Canis lupus familiaris: one gene and its partners. The main gene of each other region encodes a partner of the protein of the gene in region 4 in a complex. Links are inferred from orthologs where the notes say so. Each region holds a gene or a part of one and is shown on either strand. Other genes may lie near its edges. The genes, in order: POLR3F, POLR3K, POLR3G and POLR3D.

Region 1 (7,418 bases), on a different chromosome or scaffold from region 4:
ACAATGAAATAAAACATATACCAGAAGCCCAAGAATATGCAGTGCCTGCAGCATGCAGCTGGCATGTGTGAACTATGTGGGAACAGATGAATGAAGAGTGCTGGGGGTATGATAACAGGGGAAAAAACATCTCTGGGTTTGCATCCTGATTGTTACTTCTAAGCTGTAGCTTCTACACCTTGCTTAGCCTCATGCTTATGCAGAAATAACATCACTAGCTCCAAGGGACAAGAGGAGGATTAAATGAGACCATATAAATCTTCAAGAACATGCCTGGCCTGTGGTAGGTTCTCAACAAATCTTATTTCCCTCCTTACTTAGGTTAAATGATCAGCCCTCATTAAACATTGTCCATTTCAGGGCCTACAGGAAAAAAATCACAAATTTCCCTAGCGTGGTTATTGTAAATAAAAATGTAAAGCAAGGACTTGTTCATCAAGGGCCCATCATCAAGGTTACATGGAGGTTTGAGCTGCTCTTGGTCAACTCTGAAAGTCAGAAAATGGGGGTGTGCTTGCTGTTAAGTTAGGTGGCATTTGCACAGTCAGGTATGAAGTGGAGCCACTTTAACTCACCGGGCAGAGTCCACATGGGGCCCGGACCAAACCTGTGGGTGGGATGATTGGATTGACTGCTCTGTACAGTTTCATGTGTCCATCTACACTGCCAACAGTGCCTTCTTTTGCAGCAATGATAGTCATCTCCACTTTCCCATCGTAAATGAGTGTATTTAAGATAGTTTCAATGTCCTCCATGGATAACTCTACCTGAAAAGGAGATGCATTAGAAAGGACACAGAAAGCACAAGAAGACATCCTTTTGGAGAGTGTGTAAAGAGTAAAGGGTTCACAGTTCCTCAGTGAAATGACGAAACATCATGCTGGTGAGTAATCAGAAGTGAGGGGTTGAACAGCAGCCCAAGTTAGCACAAACCACAGAAATGCTAGAGACAGAACTCTAACCTCATGCTGAATTTGACACTTTATTTTTTTTAAGGTTTTGTTTATTAATGAGAGGCAGAGACACAGGCAGAGGGAGAAGAAGCAGGCTCCACGCAGGGAACCTGATGTGGGACTCAATCCCGGGACCCCAGGATCACGCCCTGAGCCAAAGGCAGACACTCAACCACTGAATCACCCAGGCATCCCAACACTTTCTATTTTTCCACTTTCTAAGTGAAATCTAGAAGTCTTATAAAGTAACATTTTTGGGGGCAAGAATTTTATGGGGATTCATAAAATGAGCAGAAAGAATTATTTTAGATATCAAATTGTCCAAATTCCTACTTTTTTATAAATGAAAGATTTGGGGGACAGGAAATGAAGATGACTTGTCTATGTATTGTTTTTTTCTGATAATGAAGAACATCCAGCACAGTGTCTTTATGTATAGGTCTTCAAAAACATATGCTGACAAGAGCACTCTCATCTTACAAGGGGACACAATACCAATAAATGACAACTGATGTGATGACTGATGTTTGGCACCTATGTTGAAATGTCTCTGAGAAAGTCAAGACCTTGTCAGAACAGACTTTTGAATCTTGGTAGTGCCATGCATGCCAGGCCTCTGCTCTGCTGCTCTATCCTCCAAGCTTAAGTTCACACAGATCACACAGTGCCTGATGGCATGACAGTCACCTGTCTAAATGGGTTCTGCAGAAGGTTCATAGGTATCACCTGGAAAAGGGGTCTGGGTCAAATATGTTTAGAATACATTGTAAACTATATCCCTATGATGAAGAGTAACTTTTAAAAAATAAGATGAAAATTAAAAATTGAGCTCTTACCTTACTGATCCCCAATTCACAAATGTACTTCCACACTTCATGTGATGAGGCAAATGAACTATTTCTTTGTATCATTGGATTCTGTTTGCTTTCTCGAGCTGTTTCTGCCTTTTAGGGTAGAAATATATCTCAATAAGAACACTAGCATTTTCTGAACACAGTTTATATAGTGTGAAATCAACAGAATATATTGTTTAGTGAAAATTACTGGTTTGAGTATTTTCATGTCCTATGTGAAATATGATATACAAGATTAAACATTCTTTATGAAGTAACTTTAAAAAAAAATTTGCAGTGATGTTTCCTTAATTATGCCTCACCTTGGTTTGTAGGAATTTAAAACACTGTTGGTTAAGCACCTCTACAAATTCTGATTCAAAATCCTGGTCACTGTACCAGGCTCCACCAGTCACAGACCGGTCCGGCTGCAAGTTATAAAGCATATATACTTTCTTTTTTGAGGCCTAGGAAAAAACATTAACAGCAGATGTGGTTATAAGATAAACATGTCTTGCAGGGGCACCTGGGTGGCTCAGTCGGTTAAGTGTTCGACTCTTGGTCTCAGGGTTGTGAGTTCAAGCCCTGCGTCTAGCTCCTTGCTGGGTGTGGAGCCTGCTAAGAGTCTCCTTCTCTCCCTCTGCCCCTCCCCTACCCCTGGTGCACATGCACGCTCTTTCTGTAAAAATAAATTTAAAAATCTTAAAAAAAAAAAAAAAAGGTAACCAAGTCTTTCAAAACTAAGATTTAAAGAAACTCTCAAAACTTTTTATATATATATATTTTTTTACTTTCTTTTGAGCTGGGGTGGGTGAGGGGCAAGGAGATGGGGAGGAAGAGACTCTTAACCAGTGCCACACCCAGCATGGAACCTGACTCTGGGCTCTATCTCATGACTCTGACATCATGACCTGAGCTGAGATCAAGACTCATATGCTTATCTGACTGAGCCACCCAGGCACCCCTCAAACCTTTTATTTTAGAGCAGTTTTAGATTTACACAATTAGTGTAAAGATGGTACATTTACCTTGTGCTTAGTTTCCCCTCTTAACATCTTACATTAGTAGGTTGCATTTATTACAGTTAATGAACTAATATTGATATATCATTATTAACTAAAGTCTATACTTCATTGACGTTTCTTTAGTTTTTCCCTAATATCCTTTTTCTGGTCCAAGAACCTATTCAGGATACCATATTACACTTACTTGTCCTGTTCCATTGGCAAATTCTCAGACTCTCCTTGCTTTTGATAACTTGCCAGTACTGAGGATGACTGGTCAGGTATTCTATAGGATATCTCTTGACTGGGACCTGCCTGATGTTTTTCTTATGACTACTCTAGGAGAAAGACCACGGAGAAGTGCCCTTCTCATCACATCCTGTCAAGGGCGTTCGATCACCAAGTGATAACTGATCACTACTGATAAGACTTCTCAGTATTGAGGTTAACCTTGATCAGATGGCTTGAAGTAGTGCTTCTCCGTTTTCTCCATCATAAACTGACATTTTTTCCCTAGTCTTTCCATATGTGGAAGGACATCACCATGCTCAGCCCACACTTAAGGAGTGGGAGTTATATTCCACTTCTTTGAGGGTAGAGTGTCCATCCACCTAAATTACCTAGAATTCTTCTGCACAGGAAGTTTGTCTATTTTGCCTCAATCTACTCGTGGGAAGATGTCATTTATTTATTTTTTAAAAGATCTTTTAAATTTACTTTTGACAGAGAGAGAAAGAGCAAGCAAAGGGAGGGACAAGGGCAAGCAGACTCCTCACTGAGTGTGGAGTATGATGCAGGGCTTAATCTCGTGACCCTGAGTGGAAATTGGCCTGACTAAGCCACCCCAGCTAACTCTTTGTGTCTCACCCACTGAAAAGCCAAAACTACTATACTCTTCACTAAGGAATTTTTGGAATCATTTATTTATTTAAACATTTCCATATGGACTCATGAGTATTTATTTTATACTGGGCTATAATCTAAAACTACTTTAGTTTGAAAACTTGAAAACATCATGTGAATAAAAAAAGCCTAATACAAAAGACCATATATTGTATGATACAGTTTATATGGAATGTCCAGAATACGTAGATCTATAGAGACAGAAACTACATCAGTGGTTGTCAGGGCCTACGGGCAGGAAGGCTGGGGAGTGACTCCTAGTGGGGTCACATTTCAGAGGTGATGAAAATGTGTGAATTAGAATAGTGTGATGGTTGCATGTCTCTGTCAGTATACTAAAAACTGCCAAACTATACAATTTAAACAGATGAATTTTCTGGTATGTCAGTTATCTCAATAAAGCTGTTATTAAAAATAAAGATGGAGATGAAAGATTGGCAAAGTGAAGCTAGGTGTTCAGTGTGTGGGGACTCATTATTTTTTCTACTTTTGTATATATTTGAAATTATCCATTAAAAATGCAGAGGGTAGATAATATTCTAAATAAGGGAGGGGGGATGCCTGGGTGGTGCAGCTGGAAGCATCAGCTATTGATTTTGGCTCAGGTAATGATCTAAGAGTTGTGAGACTGAGCCTTGCACTGGGGTCCATGTCCAGAATGGAGTCGGCTTGAGATTCTCTCCCTCTGCCCCTTCCTGTGCTTGTGCTCTCTCTCTCTCTCTAAATATAAATAAAACCTTTATTTATTTTTAAGGATTTTATTTATTTATTGATGAGAGACACACAGAGAGAGGCAGAGACATAGGCAGAAGGAGAAGCAGGCTCCCTCTGGGAAGCCTGATGTGGGACTTGATCCCAAGACCCCAGGATCACAAACTGAGTCAATGGCAGATGCTCAACCATGAGCCACCCAGGTGCTCCTTAATAAGTCTTTAAAATAAATAAATAAAGGAGTGTTAAGGCAAAAATATCATTTGATAAATGAATATCAAAATCTTATTTGCTGAAATCCGCATTCAAACAAACTTTAGTTTTGGGATCCCTGGGTGGCGCAGCGGTATAGCGCCTGCCTTTGGCCCAGGGCGCGATCCTGGAGACCCGGGATCGAATCCCACATCGGGCTCCCGGTGCATGGAGCCTGCTTCTCCCTCTGCCTGTGTCTCTGCCTCTCTTTCTCTCTCTCTGTGTGACTATCAAAAATAAAAATAAAAATAAAAATAAAAACAAAAACAAACAAACAAACTTTAGTTTAGGGGAATCTCAGCTCCTCTGCTGCCTAGGTTAATGGGGTCAGTAGCTGGTGTCCCTGATGGATCCAGCTCTGAATGGAAATCCCTGAAGGAGGTAATAGGGGTGGGATAGGATGAGGAGGAGAAATACTACATACTAGAAGAGACACTTTATCAGGGCAGAGATCTTTCCCTGACTTGTTCATTAATGTATCCCAAACACCCAAACAGTGCCTGGCACAGAGCAAACACACAATAGATATTTGTTGAATGAGTAATCTAATTTGCTAGAATGAAGTAAACTATCTTACACGCTGAAAATCCATGAAAAATGTTCATGATTCCAAAAATTCTTTACTGAAGAATACAGTAGTTTTACCTTTTCAAGGGGGTAAGACACAAAGAATTAACCAGGCAGTGATAAATGTAAGTAACATCTCCAAACCAATTCAATATAAACGAAATTTTTAAAAATCTTTTTGACTAGTAGTTTTAAATCATGACATAGCCTAAAGAACAAGAAGATCTTGAAACATACTTGGAGCAATACACATACAGTGAACACTTGGGGGAAGGAAAGAGAAAAATACTCACTGCCACAGACTTAACAGCTTTGATAAGCTTTTTACTTTCCAAATTCTTTAGAATTTTGTTAATTTCTGTTAATGGCAAGTTACTTTTGTATCGGATATCTCTGCTCCATATTCCTGTAAGAAAGTAAAGTAAAATGAGTTCAACGCCATAGGATTTGTGTTTGTAGTCCACGTGCCAAAACTAGCAAAATATGTATACTATTCCTAGGGCATAGTTATAGGAAAAACAGTGACTTAGAGGTAAGAATCTCAGATAACAACAAAAGTATGCAAAATGATAAAAGAAGTTATGCGCTATGTCTTCTAACCAGAAATTTCTTGGAATCCTAGTGTGGCACCTTTTTAAAAACATATGAAAAAGATACTTTTTAATGGAGAAAAATCTTGAATGTTACTGAATTAACTTATTGTCTCTTCCACCCCCTCCTATACCCCAAATTCTGTTTCCTATTATTTATACTTCAGATCGTATTTAGATTATAACTTAAGTTTGGGCCAAGGTCAGCTATCACCGCCAACAGAGTGCAAAAAACTGCATGTGAACATGTGTGTGCATATATACCCATTATTTATACACTATATTTAGGAGATGAAAAAAAGGAAGACTGCAATTCTCACAGCCACTAAAAGCCCTTTACAAGAAGGTAGGATTTCAAAGAAGGGTTGTATGTGGAATTTTATAGAAAATGTGTTACCTTAAAAAAAAAATTAAAAAAATTAAAAAATAAAAGAAAAAGAAAATGTGTTACCTTATTTTCTTCCCAGCACAGAGGCATAATGTGATAGGAAGATAGATTTTTTAAAAATAGAGAATGGCTTTTGTCATGTCTATTTTAAAAATATTAAACACCTAATAATACAAGAATGATATTTCAAATTATATCATTGTTGATACATTGTTGAAATTATCATTGGACTCAGATCCTAAACTCTAGGATTAACAGCAATTTAGATATAGTTCCGTAAGGGGATAGAGAAAAACTGAACAGTTGCTGAGGGACCTCTGTCAGACACTGCCACACTGCACTGGACATCCCTTTGGTTTTTGCAAAAACTAGAGAGATGGATTATCCACAAGTTACAGATAAGATGAAGTTAAAGAAATGAAGGCCGTCAAAGAAAGTGAGGATTGGGAAAAAAAAAAAAAAAAAAAACCCTTAAGTTTTAGCTGATTTATTTTGAATAGATAGTACATTCCCACAGTTCAGAATTCAGAAGTTTCTTTCCATCCTGGCCCCCAGCCATCTAGCCCCTGCCTGCGTTGAGGCAACAGCAACGGCATCACACCTGGGTGTCCTGCAAGCATATGTATATTATATATTTCTACTTCCCCTTCTTTTAACATACATGGAAGCATTCTCTACATATGGATCTGTATCCTGGGAAGCCAGAACTCAGTTCCTATTTCTGGTCTTAAAGATGATGACTTTTTCTGCTTCTTCCTTTACCTGCTTACCTTTATTTCCTGCATCCTCTATGATTTGATATACTAGTTTTTCTTGGTTATCTGATCCTTTCATTTTACTGCAGGGGAATAAAGTAGAATTAAAAAGACAAAGAGATACAGGATAATCTAATAATCTACATAATTACTTTAATGAATTAGCAGACAAGGTCATCACATTGACTTATTTACCAAAAGAAGGGCTTACCTTAAAAAGAATGAGACAGGGCTGTATGTACCAGAATGAAAAGATGTCCAAGATATAGTAAGTGAAAAAAACAAGTTGCAAAACAGTATGGATAGCATGATCCCATTTTTGTTAAAAAAAAAAAAGAAAAAAAAAGAAAAAAAAAGAAAAGAGATTATATATAGTATATAAATATATAATCATTTCTATATATTTATATATATACCTAGAAGAAAGGACATATACCAAATTATTAAGAGCAGTTATCTCTG
Region 2 (8,108 bases), on a different chromosome or scaffold from region 4:
ATCTACATGTTACGGCAAAAGAAAGCCATCATGTTGGGGCACCTGGGTAGCTGTCAGTTCAGCACCTGACTTGATCTCAGCTCACTTCTTAATCTCAGGGTCATGAGTTCAAGCCCTGCATTGGGCTCCAATGTGGAGCCTACTTAAAAACAAACAAACCATCACCATCGTGCCAAACTTAAAGATTATTCATGTCTGGAAAAGATACCGTCTCAAAAATGTAAAAATTTCTATCAGAGGTATAAATTTGCATCCCATGATTTCACAAGTGAGACTTCATTATTAAGAGATTTAGAAAAGTAATTAGGTCTGAGGTCCTGAGCAAAAAACGAAACTATCCACAAACTAACATCCTACCCCGCTCCAGTCCAGGATGTCCTTTTCCTTTTACTAATAAAAAGATGAAGGGCAGCCCAGGTGTTTCAGCGGTTTAGCACCGCCTTCAGCCCAGGGCCTGATCCTGGACACCAGGGATCGAGACCCACATCAGGCTCCCGGCATGGAGCCAGTTTCTCCCTCTGCCTGTGTGCCTCTCTCTCTCTCTCATGAATAAATAAATAAGTTTTTTTTTTTTTTAAATGAAGGAAGCATAAATATAGTCTACCTAATAAATTTATTGCAATCCTAGGAAACAAGAACAGAATGATAAATTGAAAAGCATGTTATCAGTATTCTGTTACCAGGAGAGCCCTAAGCATGGCAGTTGTTTGATGTCTGCTTCTCAAAGCACTCAAAACAATGAGAAAGCGGTCTCTTGCTGCAGCAACACGAGTGGGAGGACCCAGCACTGGACTCGGGGTGGAACTCCACAGATCGCTTTAAGAAATAGCAAACTGGACACGGGGGAAATCGCCAGCTTCGATAAGGCCAAGCTAAAGAAAATGGAGACGCTGGAGAACACCCTGCCAACCAGAGACCATCGAGCAGTAGAAACGGAATAAAATTTCCTAAGCATCTAGAGGGTTCCCCACCCACAACATCTTCGAGACACCCGGGTCGTGATGTAGAGGAAGAGCCACCTGCGAGATGGCCACGAGTGACAAGCTGTGCTGTGAACCCAGGCACTCCACGCTGAAGGCTGCCAGCCTGCAGGTCTCTGAGGGCCGCCCCCCAGCCCCCACCCCGCCCCAGTCAGACTGCCAAACTCTGCAGTTTACCCTGGGATATTATAGCAAATTATTTGTATGATTAACGAAAATAAAATATACTTCTTGGCAAAAAATTAAAAAAAAATAAACACTAGAAAAGCAGTATTAGACTTTCCATTTTAATTAAATATTCAGAATAGATAGTGATAAGTTTACAATTAAGTTAAATACTTAGATACATCTAATGTCCTACATTATAACATTTTACTTTATTAGTTGTGCAATCAGAGTGCATATTTAAGAAGGATAATGGTGAAAAGATGTCAATTAGCCAATATACCTACAAGATCCACAAACAGGATATTAAAAAGAACACACTTACTTATGTATACCCTTCCCTGCACACACAATCCCCCTGGATATAAATGAGCTCATCCGCTGACTGCCAGATGGGCTGGTACCCTGACCAGCTCCCGTGAAAGGGTTAGCTTTTGGCCACATCAGCAGAGACAGTTCAGGACAAACAGTTCACACTCCTGGCTGTGAATCCACCCTAGGGAACAAGGTAGGCAGACAATGACACAGCTGGATCCTGGCCCTAGTCCCTCCAGCGGTGTCCACACTGAGCATTGCAGCACTTGTAGAAGGTGGTCATCGGCTCGTCTGCAGAGCGAGTCTGAAGCTGCATGAAATAGGCACGAGGATGTTCGCATTTAGGACATGACTCTGGCAACGAGAAAAACAAGTGACCCACATTATGCTCATGACCAAACACACCTGCTAGAAGTAGGTAGGTATTAACACACCAAATCCCTCCCCGACCCCAATCATCTGGCATCCCCTGCCTAGGGCACCTTGCGCCATGACTGAAAGGCTGTAATTAGTGGCATCATTCCCACTACACTCTCACACTGAGGGGACTTGTGACCCTGGAAAACACTCCTGCTCCCCTCCCTGAGTCCCATTTTTCTTCTCAAATCTGGTTGAAGACTAGCTGGAAATGTGACATGAAATGTGGCTTATGGCTACCATGTGCATGATGGGGTCCACTCTGGGCAGATTCTTCCAAGTGCATCTCCATCACCTAAGCCCTCTCAACTTCCTGGAGGAGCCCCCAGGGGATGACAAATCCACTTCCCATTAAATTTAGGGATCCATCTCGGCAGCAGTTCCTCAGGCCGTTCTTATGAAGACCTCACCATACAACCCACACCTTTGCCAAATACCTCAAGGCAAAGTGACTTCAGTTCGGGAAACTGACCCTATGCTTGATAATGCCTTCAAACACTCACAAACAGCACTTTGAACATTAGGTACCAAAATCATCTTCTTTTCTTTCCTGGCAAATTCTGCCAATGCTAATTTTACCATATCAGATTTAGATGTTCTTCTATGGGGGAGAAAAGATAATACTAAACAGGAGTTGGGTCTTCCTCCGCTCAACACAGATGTGTTTAGGGCTCTCTTCTTTCCTTCCCTGGTCACATCTACCTCTATCAGACAGGAAACAAGACTTGAAATAAACATGTGAATGCTCTCTGCCATCAGCTTTTAAAAATCTACACCAGGAAGAAAAATAAATAAATAAATAAATAAATAAATAAACAAACAAACAAACGAATGAATGAATAAATTAATTAATTAAAAATAAAAATCTACACCAGGGATCCCTGGGTGGCTCAGTGGTTGAGCATCTGCCTTCTGCTCAGGGTGTGACCCCGGGGGGTCCCAGGATCGAGTCCCACATCGGGCTCCTGTATGGGGCCTGCTTCTCCCTCTGCCTGTGTCTCTGTCTCTGCGTCTCTCATGAATACATAAATAAAATATTTTTTAGAGATAATTAATTTTAAAAAAGATCCACAACTGAACAAATGGACCATATACTCTTCCTTAGGCTCCGACTTTCATTACTGCCATCGGTTGCTCCCCGCACAGCCGCCACTTGAGGACCACGCTAGAGGCCAAGTGCTGCGGGGCTCCCTTCACGCTCTCACAACGGAGGGAGGCCACCAAGGTCATGCGATGTTAAGAGGCTGTGGCTTTGAGACTAACCCACACCTGTACGTCTCTGGGGTTTATGCCAATATTGCCTGTGTAAGAAATAAATCACTAAAGAAGAAAATACACACGCTATTTTTAGGAGCTTCCTTCCTCAAAGGCAGCGCGGCCTCAGCTCTCACCTGCGGTGGAGTCCACGTTCTCCCAGGCCGCCGCGCCGCCGAGCACATCGTCCACTTCTTTCAGCTTCGGGTACTTCCGGTTGGTGACCTGGCGAAAGGCGGCAGGTGTTCAGGCCGCGGGTAGGGGCGCGGTGCTGACCCGGCCGCCGACTGCCCTCCTCCCCGCGGGCTGCACGATCCTGGGCAGCCGCGTCTCTACACCCGCGGCGCAGGGCTCGGCCCGGGTCCAGGGGCTCCAGCGTCGGGCCGGCCCAAGAGGCGGATGCAGCCGGGACCCCCCACCCCACCCCGTCCACGCTCGGCCCGGGCCCTCCGCGCAGGCCCCCGGCTCCGTCCCGGGCGTCGCGGCGGCGGCCCCAACTCCCGCGGGCAGCTCGGGGCGGGCGGTGCGCCGCGGCTCCGTCCAGGGCCCGGGTTGGGGCCGCAGCACCGACCCCAGGCACGCAAGTCCCGTAGAGGCGTGTCCGCAGGTGACCCGAGTCCGCCAGAGCCACGCTGCTCGGCACGACCCAAACACGGCGAGGCTGCGGGCGGGGCGGGGAGGGCAGCGGGAGCACGTGCAAAGGCCCGGCGGCCGTGTCGGTGCGCGGCGCGGGCTGCTCCCCGGGGGCTGGCGGCGTCGGCCCGGACCCGCAGTCAGCCGCGCCAGCGCACAGGGCGGGCCTGATCCGGCCACGGCTCCGACGAGGCCGCCCGGGCCGCCGCCGGGGACGCCGCCACGGGAGCCGGGTGAGGCCAGGCCGCTCCCGATACGGCGGGGGGCGGGGGCGGGGCCGCTGGAGCACCCCGGCGGGGCGGGCGTCGGCTGCTGGGCGGGGGGCGGCGGGTGATCACCTTGCGCGTGATGTTGTGCACGTAGGGGCAGGTGTTGCAGGCGAAGCGGTGGCAGCGCTGTCCCTCCTCCACGATCAGCCCGTTCCCGCAGCCCGGACAGAAGAGCAGCATGGCTGCCCCGCGCGCTCCCGGCAGCCCCTGCGGCCGCGGGGCGCCGGCGTCGGGCCCGTCGCGAGCTCCCATTGGCCCGGGCCGCCGCCGCCCCAATGGCCGGGCCGGGTTGGCGCTCCCAGCAGCCCCTGCGGCAGGCCGCCTCGAGCCTCCCATCGGTCCCCGTGGCAGCCCCGCCCCTCGCGGCCGGAAGCGGCGGCGGCGCGGTCGGAGCGCGGGGCTGGGCGGGCGCCCTGGAGCCGGCGGAGGCCGAGGCCGAGGCGGAGGCGGCGGCGGCGCGGCCCGAGGCGCCCGAGGCCGAGGAGGATGAAGAGGAGGCGCTGCCGCACTCCGAGGCGGTGGACGTGTTCCAGGAGGGGCTCGCCATGGTGGTGCAGGACCCGCTGCTCTGCGACCTCCCGATCCAGGTGCGCGGCGGGACCTCGGTGCCTGACCTCCCCCTGTGGGCGCCAGAGGTGACGATGCGGCGGGCCTCGATTCTCCCGTGTCCTTTAAGGACCTCACTGACCCGAGCACGAGCGGGGGCAGCAGGGGACAGGGACAGGCGGACGGTCGTCCGGTCCCAAGGCGGACCCCGACGGCGCCCCGGGCGCCCCGGGCGCGGCTGCGCTGCAGGTGCAGGTTCTAAGGTCGTTTCCGTAGTTGAGGCTCAAGTGGGGAGAACGGCTCCACCCCGGGACTCCGCATCGAGATTCGCGCCCCGCCCGAGGACGTTCACTCCTGGGTTGGGCGCCCCGGTCACCCTCGCACACCGGCCTCCCCTCCCCCCCCCGCCCGGTGTCGCCCTGGATCCCGGACTGACCGCGCCTCCTCCTTCCCAGCCCCAGAGCCCAGATCTGGCGCTCACCCTCTCCTGTTTCAGCGCTCCTCTTTTCCTGAGCTTTAATGCACTTTGCACATTAAACACTTTTAAAATGTAGGTGCAACCGGGAAACCCTAGCATAGAAGTAAGAAATCTTGTCTCTCGTCTTTCGTAAGATACGGCACTGCTTTTCCGATGCTATCCGCTTGTCTTGTCTTGTGGTTTGGGATAGCAAAGGCAGCCAAGGCTCCCACCTCCACCATTGGTCTTTCTGCAGGTTACTTTGGAAGAAGTCAATTCCCAGATAGCACTAGAATATGGCCAAGCGATGACAGTCCGCGTGTGCAAGATGGATGGAGAGATAATGCGTAAGTGCTCGCCCTCTCCCTGCGGACCCTGCAGTCCAAGCTGTCACGCAGACAAGACGCTGCCATGGCTGCTCAGGGGAAACTCAAGAGCCATGTACGTCGAAGGGCATCGGGGCAACCACAAGCCTACCCCACCTGAATTTGAGCCTCCGTCCAAAACAGTCTGGACAGAGCTTCTGGTTCCTTTCCTGCCGTCCTAGGCTGTGGCTGTGGATCCTAACATGGCTCTTCTCCCGCAGCTGTGGTTGTGGTGCAGAACGCCACAGTCCTGGACCTGAAGAAGGCCATTCAGAGATACGTGCAGCTCAGGCAGGAGCGTGAAGGGGGCATTCAGCACATCAGCTGGTAAGTGGAGCCACTGTTGCATGTGTGCCACAGAGCACCGAGGAGTTCCCTGTCCTGAGCGTCCCGGCGCGGTGGGTGCCACGGTGCCTGGGAGTCCTGCCTCAGTTCTCTTTCATCTACATCACCTCACCCAGGCAACTGGGCTTCTTAAATGGGGGCACCTTGGAGCATTTCCAGCGTAAGTGGTCTCCTTGGTTACAGACGGTGCAGCTGCCAGCGGCCCTACCCCATCTTCCCCTGGGTGGTCTCCTCACTCCTGCAGCATGGGTCGTCTCTGTCTCCGTGCTGTAGCCTATTTCATTAGGAAGGTGTGTTTGGCCCCCAGCCACCCCACACGGCTCTTTCAGAGCGGTGCCTCTTTCGAGCTACCTCGGGCCTGGTGTGTACAGGGTACAGGACAAGCCAAGAAGAGGCTGCCTGCCCTGGGCCCCCCAGAGCTGAGCATCCCGAGCCCATCTCACACACAGCTGCTGCGTCCCAGCTGCCCAATCACCCTGCTTGTGGTTTACCCAGATCCTCATCTGGATTTTGCAGGTCCTATGTGTGGAGGACCTACTACCTGACCTCTGCAGGAGAGAAGCTCACAGAGGACAGGAAGAAGCTTCGAGAGTAAGTTCACACCACATTTTGAGCTGCAGAGAGGCACCTGGTCTGTTGCCCTTTAGTACCCAGGCTCTGCCAGAAGACTGGGGCCTCTTCCGAGGGAGGAGGAGTCTTAAATCAATCACTGGAGAATTTGCAAGACCAAGAGAGTCCCTGGCTCAACCAACACCCTCCTGCAGGGAGGTTCCTGAGGGCTCTCCCTACTGGAATGGGAGGCATGGGGGCAGTGTGAGTACTGCTCACCAGTGGTAGAGCGGGGCTTCCTAGAGCCAGAGGAGGGCAGTGTGTGGGAAGGTGAGAGGCTGCCTGCTGGCACGACCTAGGTCCGTGAGACGATGGCCACTGCCACTCCTCACCTTCCCAGACACAAGCTGTTCCTACCTTTTTTTTTTTTTTTTTTAATACCCTCCCAAGTCTCAGGTGAGGCTCCACACATACCTTCTGCAAATCACACACTAGAGCTCTTCTTCTTTTCTAGTTACGGTATCCGGAACCGGGATGAGGTGTCCTTCATCAAAAAGCTGAGGCAGAAATGAACCTCCAGAAAGACAATTAGGTGCTGGTGGCCTGCACCCAGCTGGAACAGAGCTAAGCCCTAGGTCCAAACATCCTAATCACATGGCAGATGGACCTGGCCCTGTATACAAAATAAATCGTTTGCTTCTTAGTTTGAAAAGTCAAAAAGCCACAGTTCCTGGAGCAGGAGGGACCGCTGCTGCCCAGGCACAGAGGGGAGGCAAGGGCAGAGGATGGTGCAGGTGAGTCCTAAGGTCCAGAATGCTTCCACTTGAGCCCTGTGGCCAAATCATCCCCTCGCGATAAAACCTTTTTACTGTGATTTCTACAGCAAGGGGAAATAAAAGCAGATGGCCGGCTTTCTGTGTGTGCTTCTGCAGAAACGGGGGCCGTGCACCCACCAGCATGTGGCTGAGGTCTCCAGCCGTGGCTCACAGGGTTCACCTATAGTGACACACTTCACCCTTTGGCTCCTGGAAAGGGAGGTGGCCTGGGGCAGAACTTGGAGCTGCTGGCTGGAGAGGGAGGGCTGGGGTCAGAGTGCCTCTCCGTGTGCCAGGCGGCAGGGGTGGGGGTTGGGGGCGGAATGAGACAGCACAGCCGTGGGTTCTTCTCTCATTGTCAGCTGCCGGTCACCCTGGGGAAGGGGGCAGGAGATAGCCGTCCACCCTGCTGAGGGACTTCACGGGGAGGTATATCTCACACTTAACTTCCCTGTTCTGGGGAACTGTAAGGTGGGGGGTGTTGCGCGCAGAGGCCTGAAGAACCTCTCCCTCCATGGCCCTAGCCAGAAACCAGAAAGACGAGGCAGCTCCGGTAAGTTAGTGGCAGCTAAAACGCTCCCAGTCCATTTATTGGCCACCTGAAGTGGTCGTCAAGAAACTAGTTAGAAGATAATTGTGGGAACTAGTGTAGTAAATGCCCTGAAGCACGATAAGTTCACCAGGGTGAACAAGGCACGAGAGGTCAGGGCCCGGCAGCAGGCAGGACGCAAGCCCTGCGCAGAAGGCCCGGGGCGGGCCAGGGCAGCTCTGGCCTGCCGGTGCGCGCCCCGGGCCCAGCGGCCCGCCGACTCAGTGGAGCTGGGCATCCAGCTCGTACTTCTCGCAGAACTTGTCGGTGAAGGGGATGCAGGTGAGGAACTCGCACCACTCGCAGCGCACGGGGTAGAAGTAGAAGAGGATCACCAGGCCGGCCAGGAGGCCCAGGAAGACCACCTGGAAGACGATGATCTGGCAGCGCTTGCGGTACAAGTCAAACT
Region 3 (7,938 bases), on a different chromosome or scaffold from region 4:
ATGTTTTTGTTTGAAATCTCCAAGTTCTGGAGTTTTTCCTCAATTAAATTATCTCATCATTCTATTAAATTTTTGATTTTGTCAATCATATGCTTATTTTCAACAGTCTTTCATTATTCTCAGAATTTTCCTCTCTCAAGAGTATGCTGTTCTCTAAAATAGTATTTTTTGACTACCTCTTAGGAAACTTAATATTATTATGAATTTGTTTTGCTTCCTAAGCTGACTCTGAGTCTTCCTAGATAATGGTTTTCCTTAGTTTATCTTTCATGCTGTTGATTTTCTTTTTATCTCTGACAGTTTTTGATTCTTCATTTTTAAGAATGGGAGTCTAGATAGATGTGAAGAGAGACTATACCGGGGCAGGGAATCTGAAACAATTCGAGTGCAATGGTTTCCTAAACAGCTTTTAAATTTTACATTTGGCTCTCTTCTCATTTCCATCCCATTCTGTGCCAGACAACTCTAAGCCTAGGGCCTCTCTGGGACTCTGTCAGGCAGATCAACTCTGACGCTTTGGTCATCTGAAATTCTAAGGAGTTGAGACTTTGATGATCTGTCTCATTTGTCAACAGGCTTCCATGTCTCTTTGGATCTTTCAGATATATGTTTTTTTAAGATTTTATTTATTTATTCATGAGAGGCACACAGCGAGGCAGAGACATAGGCAGAGAGAGAGGCAGGCTCCCTGCTGGGAGCCTCATGAGGGACTCCATTCCAGGACCAAAGGATCACAACCTGAGCCAAAGGCAGATGCTCAATCACTGAGTCACCCAGGTGCCCCGATCTTTCAGATATTTTTTGAAATATCTTCTCTGTTGATGTTAGCTCTCCAGATCACTTTAGTATTGGAAATTATTTCTCAGCTATTGTTTTATTAAGGTTTCAGGAGCAAGACTAAACAAATACTAATGCTACTATCCTCTTAAACCACAAGTTCTATCTACTTTTGGCTCTGGTTCTGGACTTACTATTTTGATTACAATAGTAGCAAATACATTTTAATATCCTATAGAGTGATTTTTGTATTACTATTCTTTTTCACCATTTTGTAACTTATTTTTATCCAATTATCCTTGAGATGATCATTAGAATAATTTTTATTATTCAAGAAAAAATGGAGGTGCTTGGGTGTCTCAGTCTGTTAAGCATCTGCCTTTAGTTCAGGTCATGATCTCAGGGACCTAGGATCAAACCCTACACTGGGTTCCCTGCTCAGAGGGGAGTCCGCTTCTCCCTCTTCCTCTGCCCCTCCCTTCGTGTGCGCATGTGACCTCTCAATAAATAAAGTCTTTAAAAAAATTAAAAATGGAGAATTTTCATTTTGATTAAACTTACAGATAAATCTATGGATCTATGTGCATTAGTAAAATTTTGTGATTTTCTACCTACTGATCCTACAGATTTCTTTTTAAGTTTATTTGTAGGAATTTCATACTGCTATTATTTTAACTTGCTTGTTGATTTTGCAAATTTTTCTGAAAATCAGCTACTTTATTGAATTATTTTCAATTCTAATAGTCTGATACATGATGTTTATCTTATATATCACTTCTTTTTCTTTTTTATTACATCACTGATTAGAATTTTAGAGAGTGTTGATAACTTTTAATGATGTTTGTGACAGAGATGTTAATCCTCTATCTTATCTTTAGTAATAGATGATCTGACCCCAAGTTTTAGCAGAGCACACAGTTTTTCAGCTAGAGTTTTTATTCTTTTTTATTTTTTAAGATTTTATTTATCCAGTCATGAGACAGAGAGAGGCAGACACACAGGCAGAGGGAAAAGCAGGCTCAATGTGCGACTTGATCCCGGATCCTGGGATCATGCCCTGAGCCAAAGGCAGATGCTCAACTGCTGAGCCACCCAGGTGTCCCCAGCTAGAAATTTCTTTTTCCAGCCTCCCTTGTAGCAAGGAGTGGACATGTCACTAATTCTCCCAATTATGTAGAAGTGATGCATTAACTTTCCTGTCATTCCCTTGGAAAGATATCCTGTTGAAAATATTTTAACACTTAAAAATCTATTTTCCCAAATTATTTGCCCACATCCTATAAAGTTCTAGTGTTGCAGTTACCAGGTTTAAGAAACACTAGCATATTTGAAGTATGTTGTTCATGTTAAAAATGTACCTCCTATATCTGGTTTATTAACATATATTTTATTAGAAATAGATTTTGAGTATTTTTGAGTCTCTTTTTGGATGTTTAGCTAATCTCCTTAATCCAGAATTATGATTAATTAATACAGATTTGTATTTTGAATCATCCCTTTGCATTTTAAAAATAAACTCTATTTGGTTATAGTGAAATGTTCCCTTAAGACAATCCCAAATTGATTTTGTCAACATCTAAAATTTTTGCACATATGTTCATAGCGAACATGAAACATGAGCTTATAAAATGGTGAGTAACATGCACCCTCTTTTTTTAAATTTTGTTTATTTATTCATGAGAAAGAGAGAGACAGAGACAGAGACAGAGACACAGGCAGAGGGAGAAGCAGGCTCCATGCAGGAAGCCTGACATGGGACTTGAATCCTGAGTCTCCAGGATCACGACCTGGGCCGAAAGCAGGCGCTTAACTGCTAAGCCACCCGGGCATCCCAACATGTACCCTCTTATCATGGAGCATACAGTCAGTGATATTAAATGCTTTAAATGTTCTCTGTGCAAGCTTCAAAATTTAAGTTCTTCATCATACTTTGAATTTAAAGCACCAGAATTAGTTCCTTGGGAATTTTTATGAATTCAAAGTTGTTTGGTGTTTTTTTCTTTTTTATTTAAGTAATCTCTACAGCCAACGTGGGGCTTGAATCCACGACCCCAAGATCAAGAGTTGCATGCTCCTGCAACTGAGCCAGCCAGGCGCCTGCTCCTCATGAATTTTTAAACTCACCCAGAACTCTGAGTGGGTTGGACGCCTTTTTATTTTACAGCATGGAATTGTGGCATCATCCTATCATTCAGTTCTATCTATAGTTATCGACCTAATTCAGTTTTCTATCTTTTTTGAGTCATCTGTTTCCCTTGGAAAGTGACTATTTCATTTCAATATTAAAATTCATTGGCAGCATGAAGTCGTATAAAGTACTTTAATAATTTGTAAACCTCCCTCTTGTTATTTTTTTAAAATAAGCTTTATGCCCAACGTGGGGCTTGAACTCACAACCCAGATATCGAGAGATGCATGCCCTACAGACTTATCCAGCCAGGTGCCCCAACCTTCCTTTTAAACTACCAAAAACCGTATTAGTGGCAATATTACCTTTCCTTTTCGAGTCAACAGTGATTTATAGAAATACTTTAAAAGGTTAGGTGTTCTAATTTTGTTTTTTTTTTTTTTTGGGGGGGGGTTTCCTTTAACCTTTAATTTTTAGAGTTACACCATCATACTAGTTTTACCTGTCCAAATTTAGTTCATCCTTCTAAGCCTAACATATAGGCCAAATCCTTCAAGAAGACTTTCTTCTGTCCTACTGGTTCTCTCCCTTCTTTAAACATATATATATATATATGTTTATATAATAAAAATATATACCTAAACACATATATAAATATATACATAAACATATATATATATATTTATTTATTTATGATAGTCACACACAGAGAGAGGCAGAGACATAGGCAGAGGGAGAAGCAGGCTCCATGCACCGGGAGCCCGACATGGGATTCGATCCCGGGTCTCCAGGATCGTGCCCTGGGCCAAAGGCAGGCGCCAAACCGCTGCGCCACCCAGGGATCCCAACATAAACATGTGTATTAAATATATAAACATGTTTATACGTATAAACATATTTATATATAAACATATATAAAAACATATATAAACATATATATGTTGAGGATATATATATATATATATATATATCCTTTATACATAGCCCATAGTGTTTATACATCTTCCCCCTTACCCTGCCTCAACGCCATATTCAGGCTATTTCACTCCTTTATAAGGGTTACAACTTAGTTCAGTGATTTGTGGGTTTTCACAGCAAGATCCCACCCAACGCAACAAATATTCATTGAGCGCCTGTGCATCAGGCACCGTATCAGGCACTGGGATCCGCGTTAAATGAAAGATACCATCCTGCACTTGAAGAAAGCCTAGTAGGAGTGATGAACAAGTAAACAAATTACCCAGGTGAGCTTCAAGAACTTAGTTTGGAGCTTAAGATAATATAACGTGTATAAGCAGCTTCCAACCCTGTAAAACAAAGGATGCAAGAGAACAGATCCCTTCAGGGAGGGAGAAGGGAGCTAAGGTACCGTCAAGTGCCGCTTTACCGTAAGTAGCCTAATAATCCAACCCATTAGATATACAATCTATAAGCGACAGCACCTGCCTTAAAAGCACGTGGGATTGTAAGGGGGAAAAAAATGCAAATTCATACCTACTAAAATCAGAATTGGGAGGACGGGACGTTTAAATCTGCGTTTTAAACAAACTCCCCATGGACTCAGGCCACCCAAGGTTTTAGAACACAGCGCAGTCAAATTCGGCAGGCCTCATTCCCCAGCCGCTCCCTCCCTTCGGCTAAGGAGGCTGGCCCCGCGGCGCGCCTCTCCTCCCTCCCTCCCTTCTCCCCCGGAGCCGTCCATCTCGTCGGCGGTCACCCAGCGGGAGGCAAGGTGCAGCCACCTACCGCCCAAACTACCACGCAGACACCTGGACCCTCGCTCCGCAAAGGATTCCGGGAAACCTCAACAAGCCAATAAAGGGCGGGGAGGAGGGGCAGAAGAAGAGGGACGAGCGGCTTCTTTGATTGACGCGAAGCACGCCCAATGAGAGCAGAGGACCAGGGACGCTTCCGCCTCAATGGGCGGGCTGTTAGCAACGTCAACCAATCCGACTCCGAAGCGTCTACCTTGTGGGAGGTCCTTGAGGCCGCTGAGGTCGTTGGTGTCTGTTGAACGGCTTGTGGAAGTCGTGCTGCCTTGGGCAGGGCGTTAAAGTCGTTCTCGAGGGGAACGTCTCTGTCCGAAGAGAAAATGAGTTTAGCTCTGAGGTCGGTAATGAGGAGGCCGCAATGCCCTCCACACCTCGCAGCGGGCCCCAGGGCTGGCGTGTGTAGAAGGGAGGTAGCTGGGCCGAGGCGAGCTGGAAGGGGATGCATTTTGGGATGAGGGCGAGGAGCCTCGGCCAGCCTTCCTGGCTCGGATTCCTCACCCTGGGGGCCCTGGTGCTCCGCAGGTGAGGAGTCCCGTGCATTTGTGCCGAGGTAGTTAGCGTCTGTATCAGCGCGTCGGGCTTTGCACCACCGAGGAGATGGGTTTCTAGTTGGGAGGAGGGAGTGAAATATCGCGATGCTTCTTCTCGCGGTGTTTCTCCGCGAAGTCAGGCCGGGGAGCCTCCCTGGGTTCAGCTCCGCCCTCCGGGTCTCCGGCCCCTGCAGCCCCTGCAGCCCCTGCAGCCCCTGCAGCCCCTGCAGCCCCTGCAGCCCCTGCAGCCCCTGCAGCCCCTGCAGCCCCTGCAGCCCCTGCAGCCGTCAGACCGAGCTATAAATTTTGGAAAGAGCTTTAAACTCTTCCTTGCTCTTATCCTGGGGCCCTGCTTTAAGATATAACGGGCGACCCATATAAATGACTTTAATTGATTTCTCAAAAAAAAATTTTTTTTTAGTTTTGTTTACCTTTCATTGACTTCCAATCTCTAACCCCGTTCGTTGCCCCCAGCAGCAGCAGCACCTAGATGTTTTTACACGTTGCACCTTAAAAAAAAAAAAAAAAAAAAAAAAAAAAAAGGTGGTTACGCCTTTCTGAACAGGTGCGGCTTTGGGTTGGGAGATGATGGTGGCAGCCCTGCCTCGACCCCGTGGCGGGTCCTGCTGTTGACCTGGCCGTCCAGAGAAGGTGACCGCGGGGACTGGGGTCCCTGTTCGCGCGAAGTCAGGTGTCTTGTGAAAGGTTGTCCCCCCGCTCTGTTTATTACTATAGGTCTCCTGGTCATCTTCTGATCGTCTGTCTCTTGACGGTTTTGTGGTAGGTTTTTAGAAAGCAAAACACAGGCAAATAGGTAAGGTGTTTTTATTAAATAAAATCAACTAGGCTTTACATTTCAAAGTGTTAGGAAATTGGTTTCAAACTTCTTGTACGGATGTTGCGGCACCATTCGAAATTTTGGAACACTAAGATGAGTATCTCTTAAGACATACCTGGCTTTTTTTTTTTTTTTTCCTTTTTTTTTTAACATTTATTTATTCTTGAGAGTTAGAGAGGCAGAGACACAGGCAGATGGAGAAGCAAGCTCCAATGCAGGGAGCCCGGTGCAGGGACTCGATCCCGGGACCCCAGGGTCACGCCCTGGACTGAAGGCAGGTGCTCAACCGCTGGGCCACCCAGGGATCCCCATTTCTGCCTTTTTAAATAAAATCTACTTTCAAGAAATTTCCAGGATTTAGGAGAAGCTATATCTAAATTTACAAGTGAAATTTAGAAAACCATGGACTCTTCACTATGGGGTGAGCAAGGCTTTGACTCATGGAAGAAAAATTTCATTTTTCTCTCAAATAATTCCTTTTAAGAAATTTAAAAAATATAGAAAATTAGCACAAACATTCTTGTTTTGGCTTTTAATTTTCATGGTATATTTAGACTTCAGTATTTCGGTTGATTTGTTAATATCAATGGAAGAAATTATAAATAAAGCCCCAAACTTAGCAATGTGTACTGTAAATCACTTTGAACCCACAATGCCACAAACTTTGTAAGTTAATTGTTAAGTGATACGCTTTTTTTGGTAGTAATTTTGATAACTTATAAATGCTCTCAAAAGTAAGCCAAATATGCAATGATCCTCAATTATGAATTTTCCTTTGATTAGTTTAATACTATGTTGTAGAGTAATGTTAATAAGTAGGAGTGCTTTAGTTTTGTTGCGATTTCTGTGATGAATAATTTTTTTATTCACAGTTATTTCTTCCACATTAATATCAGAATAAATACAAAGCCAGAAGGAAAGAAAGTTAGGTCCTTTTTTTCTTATAATAACATGTAACACTTTTCAGTTTTGGAAAGTGCAGATTTATAGCAGCTTAGACTATGGATTGAGCAAGGCTTTGACTCATGGGAAGAAAAATTTCATTTTTCTCTCAAATAATTCCTTTTTAGAAATTAAAAAAATTCTTCCTTGTTTAATTTCTTTGTCGCATTTTGAAATTTTAATTATCTAGATGTGTAGGAGAATAGAATTAAAGTAGACTGAATAGACTTTTCTTCTCATTTCATAGAAATGAGCTTGTAGTAGACAAAACAAAGAGAAAAAAAAGAAGAGAACTCTCTGAAGAACAGAAACAAGAAATTAAAGATGCTTTTGAACTGTTTGACACAGACAAAGATGAAGCAATAGATTATCATGAACTAAAGGTAATAATGTACTTTAAAATGTATATTTTTCTGTTAAAATTGTTTGCATTTTCTATAGTTGGCTAAAATAACCCATCTAAAGTATTTTAACTAAACTGGTTGTGGAAATATGAAACCATTTGAGATGTTCACAGTTAAGTGCTATAATAAAATTAAATACTAGCATCTTTTTAGACTTTCCTTTTCACACTGTGAAGCGAATAGTATTTTAAATATAAAAGTATATTACTATGGTAGGGCCTTATTTTCACTCATGTAATAAAAAGATTTCAAACTATAGGTTTTAAACAGTTCTTACTGTATTTTTGCCACTGCTGGGTTTTTTTTTTTTTCATTTGTGTATGACTCATTCTTTTTTCACATTGTGAGAGTGTTCTTTTAATTGGAACACGTTAGTAATACATTCTGTACATACTTTCTCTAGTGCAAACAATATAAGTGATGTCTGATGTCAACGCAGTGCTAATGGGGGAAAATGTCAACTTTAGGGCCTAGAATTATTTATAAAGATGTGAGGGAAAATTAAAGTTTAGGGTAGTACAGATCTCACACTCAGCATGAGAAAGGC
Region 4 (6,178 bases):
CAGCCTTCGAGCAAGCAGAACTTCTACATGTTCCCACAGAAGCCTTCTGTCCCTTGCAATAGGAGACCAGAACAACACTACCAACAGAGCTCCCATGAGCTCTGACCTACAGAAGGGACAATGTTCAATCTTTCTTCATAGCTGCTGGCTAGGTATGCAGTTTGAGGGGCTGGGCACAGGAATACCCCAGCTGTCATGAACAAAATCAGATTCACAGGACAGAAAAGTGAGACTAAAGGAAGGAATATTCATTCAAACCTCTGGGGCCACCTCAAAGTCAGGAGGAGGTACTCTTATGGAGCCTGTGTGGTCCATCGCTGTTCCAGAGGCAGTTGGCTAAGCTCACAGAAAAGGGAGCTGTGACATTGGCGTCGAACAACCACAGACACTGCTGTAGGCAGCCTTTCCTAAGCTCTAAGATGCCTCCTGCCACTGAACCAGGGAAAAAACCCAGCCCCATAGGCAAGGGATAAGGGAAGAGCAGCTGCTCCTCCAGGAACGACACACTGAAAGGATCAAGAGTGTGATGACTTGGTAAAAGGAACAAAGTAATAGACCCATGAACTAAAAGGCCACAGTGGCCAGCTGGGATTGGGATGCAGACCTGGTGATGGCGGGACAGGAAGTGGGGGCGGGGGGCTCTCAAATTCAAAACTTTTGAAATGGGAGGTCATCTCTCAAGTGTCGAGTAAGTTGTTATGCAATAAATCTTTAATTGCCATGTTACCAAGGTTGTTTTTTCAGCAGTATTTGAGTGTGGTCATAATTCTGAGTACTCACAGGATTCTTTTGGGAACTATTTAAATGGAAGCCAAAAGAGTACTGCTAGACATTGCATGGCTTGTGGGGAAGGGACAGGGGAGGAGTTCTGGGGCCTTGTTTCACCAAAGGCAGGTGTACGGTGCTGGGGGGCAGTCTCTGACTTCACCTCTGGTAGAACTATAGCTAGCACCTCACCAAGTAAATAGGCAGTACTTGGCTAAGAGTGCTCAGGAGAAGACGGGCAGGGAAGGGCCTGGACCTGTATCCTCAGAGCTTCAGGCCCAGGGGGATTGTAAGTGCAGTCAGGAGGTCAGGACAAAGCAGCTCTATTCATGTCTTCGAGAGATTCCTGGAATCTCTATTTTGTTTGAAAACAGACTCAGGCAAAGGGAAGGGAAACTAACATTTATTGAGTGCCCATTGTGTTTATCTGGCCTTGTGCAAGGAGTTTTCACCTACAACATTCCACTTAATCCTCACACCAACCCTGTGAGGTAGGTATTGTCCTCATTTTTGTCCCATGAGGAATGAGGCTGAGAAAGGTTAGGTAGTTTGTCCAAGGTCACACAACTAGTAACTGATGGAGCTGGGATTGAGCACTGAGTCCCAGACTCAAAATTCCCAGCTCTCTCTCCAACACTGCTTCTTGGGAAAGAGGAAGGAGTAAAAGCAGCAGCAGTCCTTACGCTTCCTACCCTGAGAACAAGACAGTCAGCAAGACAGGAGGAGCCTGGACTTTTCCATAGACCCTCCCCTCTCTACCTGGGGAGGGTGCAGTCACTCGAAGAGATAAGACATAAATATAAAAATAAATAGAAGGGACAAGTCCCCCAGCAGCAAGGATGTGCAGGATCCATGCTGTGGGAAGGCCACGGTGCCATTCACAGCTGCCGTGGGAGGAAGCCATGTGGGCCCTGTGGGGAAAACTGGGACAATGGCTGCCAAAGGCTGGAGTGGGTGGGCTAAACAGGCCCCTTCTGGGTCGCACAGATTTGAGAACAAAACGTCTGGAGCAGGCAGCCGTGGGCACAGTCACCATCATCCTCCATCTGCTCATTTTACCGGTGTTTGTGATCCAAGAGGGACTCAAAATCAGGGGAACATACAAGTTTGTGCTTTATGTGTCCCAGGACTGTCATCTCACCGGTCCTACTGTCGCCAAGGCCCACGGATACCAGCTCCTGCCAATCAACAGAAACAGCAATGAGAACCAAAACCATACAGCCCATTCCTCAGCCCTATGATTTAGGAGAATCCCAAGAATGCTTCTCCCTTAGTTAGCATGGACTCCTCAGCACTCCTTACCTCTTAAAGAGCCCCTACCATGACCCCACAGGCTCTCACCTGCAGGAAGGAGCAGGCGGTTCCCATCGTCACATCTAGAGTCACCTTGCCCAGGAGGAGCTGCACCTTTCCTGACTTGCGGATGAGCAGCTTGCCAACCTGACCCTCTGTCAAGTCAGCCAGGGTACAAGCATTCTCTGCCAGCCTGGCTTCCTGCGAAGAGAATCAGAAGATGGAAACAAGATAAGGAGCTTCTTCCTCCAGCCTGCATGAATGATACCGTTTCCAAAGGAAGAGGTCAGCAGCAAAGATTAGAATGAGCTCCCTAAGAGGGCCTTTCTTCACAGTTGCCTGCCATTGGCCAAACAACAAAACCCAAAGCAAACAAATGGACAAATAGACAAAATATTTATTACTGCTGACGCTGAGTGATGGTACATGAGAATTCATGTTCTCTCATCTGTGTATACACTAAATATTTCATTGTAAAAAGTAAAAATACGTAACAGGGGTTGAAGTACAAAGCCTCAAGCACCTTGTGGGTGGAATGAATGCGTATTATTCTGGCATTTCAGCTTGGGTGGCACCCCTTTGCTCCGCAACAGATGGCTGTTTCCTTTCCTGGCCCCCTCAGTGCTTCCACAGAACTCATCCATGCACATACCCGGTCTTTCTCCTGCTTTATGACCACCATCTGCCCATCCTCAGTCTGCACCTCTGTCTTGATAGGCTTGATGTCCTGAGTAGGTGGCTGGCCAGGGAGCGTGTCTGGCAGTTGAAGGAATAGCAGCTCTTCCTCCTGGGTCAGGCTCAGCTCCCTGAGCAACTCTGCCACAGATATGTCCTTTGGGAGGCCCGGGGTCTTTCTGGCTGTTCTGGGAGGAGCCTTCATCTTGGCCTCCTCCTCCTCATCTCGGGGCTCCTCTTTCACTGCCCAAGGAAACATAAATGGAAGAGCTATGAAGTAGCCATCTTGCAGTACCCATCCCTTCATTCCCATCTGCTTCATTGTCACTCAACCATGAAGCAGGAGGGAAGCACTGGTATGAAGAAGGGTCCAGGAGTTGTGTGGCTTATCAAAAAGGAGTATCTGAGGCTAGGCCCACGGATCCATGTCAGCATGAACTTTCTGAGAATGAGAATTTAGTGTCCCTGTTCAGGTCATGTACTTCACAACTGGAATGGGGGAGGACCCGCTTATGAGTCTGGGAGATTCATTCCTAGAGAGGATTCCTGGGGGGCAGCCACAGGGAAGGAGAGGAGACGTTAATGGACAGAGTACCTTTCACAACAGGTACATCCACCTCCATGTCCTCTTCCTTGGGGCCAGCCAGCCAAGGTTTAACATCTGGCTCTTCATTCTCTTCCTTAAAGAGCCACCCTGAGTGAGCCAGCGGCAGCTGCACAGGCATGTTTCGAGTGTCATTCCTCAGCCCAGGGTCATCGATGAACTACCAGGGAAGAGTCAGGGGGTCACATGGTCTGGCTAGCATGCACACATACCTGGACTGCAGCCCACCTGAGCTTTTTCTAACTGAAGATTCCTGCTGCTCACAGGCTTCTAGGACATCAGAGAGCTCTTCTTCCCCCAAGCCTGGCTCCCCAGAAGCCCACTCTGCCCAGCCTACCGGTACCTACATCATCCTTCTCCAGCATGCGCAGGATCTGTTTTGTTTCTTCATCTGTCTCCCTCTTCTCTTTTTTGATGTTGATGATATGAGAGGGCCCCATGTCTGATACATCCACTGTCTTATCCCAGTTCCCTGTGGGAAATAACTCAGTTCACCAGGGGCATGGAAGAGGCCAACAGCAAGGAAAAGCACACAGGGAGCAGGGAAATTTTACTGCCCTTGCCCTTCTCTTGGGCAGTCTGGACTGAAATCTATGGATTTCTTCTTCCCGGAACCCCAGAAGCTTTGTACCCTTTTTCTTCATCATTTCAGCTGGGCCCTGCTCAAAGATGGAGTGGGACTGGATCACTTCTGGGCGGCCTCGGCCCCGTCCATGCCCGTCTCGCTGCCGGTCTCTATCCCTGTCACGCTTCTCTTTCTTGATGGCTACTTCTTCCTTGGGCCTGGAAAAGAGAATGGAGGAAGGGAAACCACTCACTCACTCTGCCTCAGAGAACTGGTCTTACTCTGACACACACTCTACTCTACCCGAGCAGAGAATCAAGAGCCAGTGACTGTATCTGAAGAAGCAGAACCCAATCCTAAGTCTAGCACCTTTTCTACTTCCTTGATGGGGCAGTTTCCTTTCAGTTCACTTTACTTATCTTCTTGCTTGAGAGTATATAACAGGACTACGACTCAAAAGTGGAATTACAGAGACTGCCCCTAAATGTGGACTTCTCAGTATTGCTTAAAAGCAAGAAGACTGTGATACAAAAGAATGTAAGTGAGAACTGAACACATTTTTGTCTAAACTAGTGTCTCTCAACTCCAGCCGTAAAGGATAATCACTCTCTTTCATCGCAAAAAAGTTAAATCACCATTTCCAGAGATGGACTTCCAGGCATCAGTATGTTTTTTAAAACTTGCACGTTACAATCACCTGGAAGCCAAGGTCAAAAATCACTAGTGAAAAAAAAATACACAAATTTAGATTTCTGAGCCACATACGTAGTTATTTCCCAAAAGACCCAAATTCAGAGCAATAGGGGAAATCTGTGTTATTTTTTTAAAAGATTTTATTTATTTATTCATAAGAGACAGAGAGAGAGAGAGAAGCAGAGGGAGAAGCAGACTCCATGCAGGGAGCCCGATGTGGGACTCAATCCTGGGTCTCCAGGATCACGCCCTGGGTGGAAGGCAGGTGCTAAACCGCTGAGCCACCCGGGCTTCCCTGTTTTATTATTTTAAAAGATTTTATTTATTTATTCATGAGAGACACAGAGACATAGGCAGAGGGAGAAGCAGGCTCCTGAGGACTGGATCCTAGGATCACGCCCTGAGCTGAAGGCAGATGCTCAACCACTGAGCCACCCAGGTGCCCCAAGGGGAAAGTTTTTAGAAGGCTGAGCTACTTACTCTTCCTTAATTTTCCGACTGATGATATTTGGGGTGAAGGTTTTCTGAAAATAAAATATGAGTCACTGATTTGTTAAGTTTCCCAAAGTACAGAGAAAAATGAAAACTCTCAAAAGGGATCTTGTATGGACCAAGACCACCATTCTACATTCCCTACTGTTATAATGGTTTACAGAGATAGGCATGTGCTTAAAAGGAATGAAGATCCTGTCATGATAGCAGTGGACTTACACACTGAACAGGGCACCAAAACCCCATTTTAGTTAGTGGCCTCAGCTTCTGCCCTCTGAAAGGAGAACCCTGAGCACTTCTACAATTTATTTATCTAATCTCACTTCTTGTCAAATCATTGAATATCACAGGAAAGAGCTCTAGCAGCAAGCCTCAAGTACAAAGTCCGCCTGCACCCACAAACAGACACAGCTAGACTGCCACCAGCATTTCCCAAGGCAAACAAGTCTTTGAAAACTAGCTGCTTTATGCTTCTGCTACATCACCACCACCAGCTGCCTCCCCTCCCCAATTTCGGGACGATCTTAACATCTACAGTGATAAACACGACGCAAAAGAACACTGAGCCTCCAAGGCCCTGCCTAGAATTCATTACACTAGATCACAGTTTGCCCACCATAATCCATGGCGGATACAGAACTCTCTAAAATTGAGGGCAAACTTTATGCCTGCTGGCTCTCAGGGGTTTCTTAAAGGTATCCCAAACACATTTTTAAAAAGTAAATAAACATTGCCCAAGTTGCCTGGGAAGTAATTAGGATTCTCTGCCCTTCAGCCGTTTCTGAGAACCACGTCAAGGTCCTGCGCCCGGTGTCTAGACTCCCTAGAATCTGTCAGCAGAAGTCTGGGGACGGGGTTTCCCTGGGCCCAACACAGAGCCTGGCACGCGGCGGGCCCTACGCGAGCGTCAGGTGAACCCCAGGGTCCTGGGACTCGAGGTAGCAGGGTTTCTTCAGCAAGGCGCCGTCGGGTACCTTCTTGACTCCCCCGAGGGTGAGGTCCCTGGAGCGGATGGAGGGAAGGCGACCCGGAGTGAGGGGAGGCGCCGGCCGCCGCCCAACAAGCCCCCGGCCCCCAGAGAGGAGGGGGCG

The links.
Region 1: POLR3D (region 4) and POLR3F share a complex: the UniProt entries of both Homo sapiens proteins name them as parts of the RNA polymerase III complex. The link is inferred for Canis lupus familiaris from reciprocal best matches to the Homo sapiens genes POLR3D and POLR3F.
Region 2: POLR3D (region 4) and POLR3K share a complex: the UniProt entries of both Homo sapiens proteins name them as parts of the RNA polymerase III complex. The link is inferred for Canis lupus familiaris from reciprocal best matches to the Homo sapiens genes POLR3D and POLR3K.
Region 3: POLR3D (region 4) and POLR3G share a complex: the UniProt entries of both Homo sapiens proteins name them as parts of the RNA polymerase III complex. The link is inferred for Canis lupus familiaris from reciprocal best matches to the Homo sapiens genes POLR3D and POLR3G.

The regions. Positions count from the first base shown.
Region 1 is NC_049245.1:5,106,686-5,114,103, forward strand, and holds part of POLR3F (DNA-directed RNA polymerase III subunit RPC6), read right to left. Parts: intron 7,189-7,418; coding exon 7,168-7,188; intron 7,040-7,167; coding exon 6,972-7,039; intron 5,630-6,971; coding exon 5,517-5,629; intron 2,254-5,516; coding exon 2,110-2,253; intron 1,898-2,109; coding exon 1,790-1,897; intron 768-1,789; coding exon 576-767; intron 1-575. UniProt on the Homo sapiens protein: DNA-dependent RNA polymerase catalyzes the transcription of DNA into RNA using the four ribonucleoside triphosphates as substrates.
Region 2 is NC_049227.1:40,883,867-40,891,974, reverse strand, and holds POLR3K (DNA-directed RNA polymerase III subunit RPC10), read right to left. Parts: upstream 4,263-8,108; 5' UTR 4,214-4,262; coding exon 4,103-4,213; intron 3,357-4,102; coding exon 3,269-3,356; intron 1,815-3,268; coding exon 1,687-1,814; 3' UTR 1,249-1,686; downstream 1-1,248. Other genes in the region: SNRNP25 (U11/U12 small nuclear ribonucleoprotein 25 kDa protein), read left to right, coding at 4,579-4,620, 5,293-5,383, 5,623-5,728, 6,263-6,337, 6,810-6,867; RHBDF1 (inactive rhomboid protein 1), read right to left, coding at 7,921-8,108. UniProt on the Homo sapiens protein: Core component of RNA polymerase III (Pol III) which synthesizes small non-coding RNAs using the four ribonucleoside triphosphates as substrates. Can mediate Pol I proofreading of the nascent RNA transcript.
Region 3 is NC_049224.1:18,658,299-18,666,236, forward strand, and holds the start of POLR3G (DNA-directed RNA polymerase III subunit RPC7), read right to left. Parts: upstream 4,995-7,938; 5' UTR 4,874-4,994; exon of another isoform or gene 4,858-4,873; intron 1-4,857. Other genes in the region: CETN3 (centrin-3), read left to right, coding at 4,998-5,014, 7,235-7,370. UniProt on the Homo sapiens protein: DNA-dependent RNA polymerase catalyzes the transcription of DNA into RNA using the four ribonucleoside triphosphates as substrates.
Region 4 is NC_049246.1:35,177,027-35,183,204, forward strand, and holds part of POLR3D (DNA-directed RNA polymerase III subunit RPC4), read right to left. Parts: coding exon 6,062-6,178; intron 5,120-6,061; coding exon 5,076-5,119; intron 4,121-5,075; coding exon 3,969-4,120; intron 3,810-3,968; coding exon 3,685-3,809; intron 3,498-3,684; coding exon 3,329-3,497; intron 2,977-3,328; coding exon 2,711-2,976; intron 2,260-2,710; coding exon 2,107-2,259; intron 1,944-2,106; coding exon 1,821-1,943; 3' UTR 1-1,820. UniProt on the Homo sapiens protein: DNA-dependent RNA polymerase catalyzes the transcription of DNA into RNA using the four ribonucleoside triphosphates as substrates.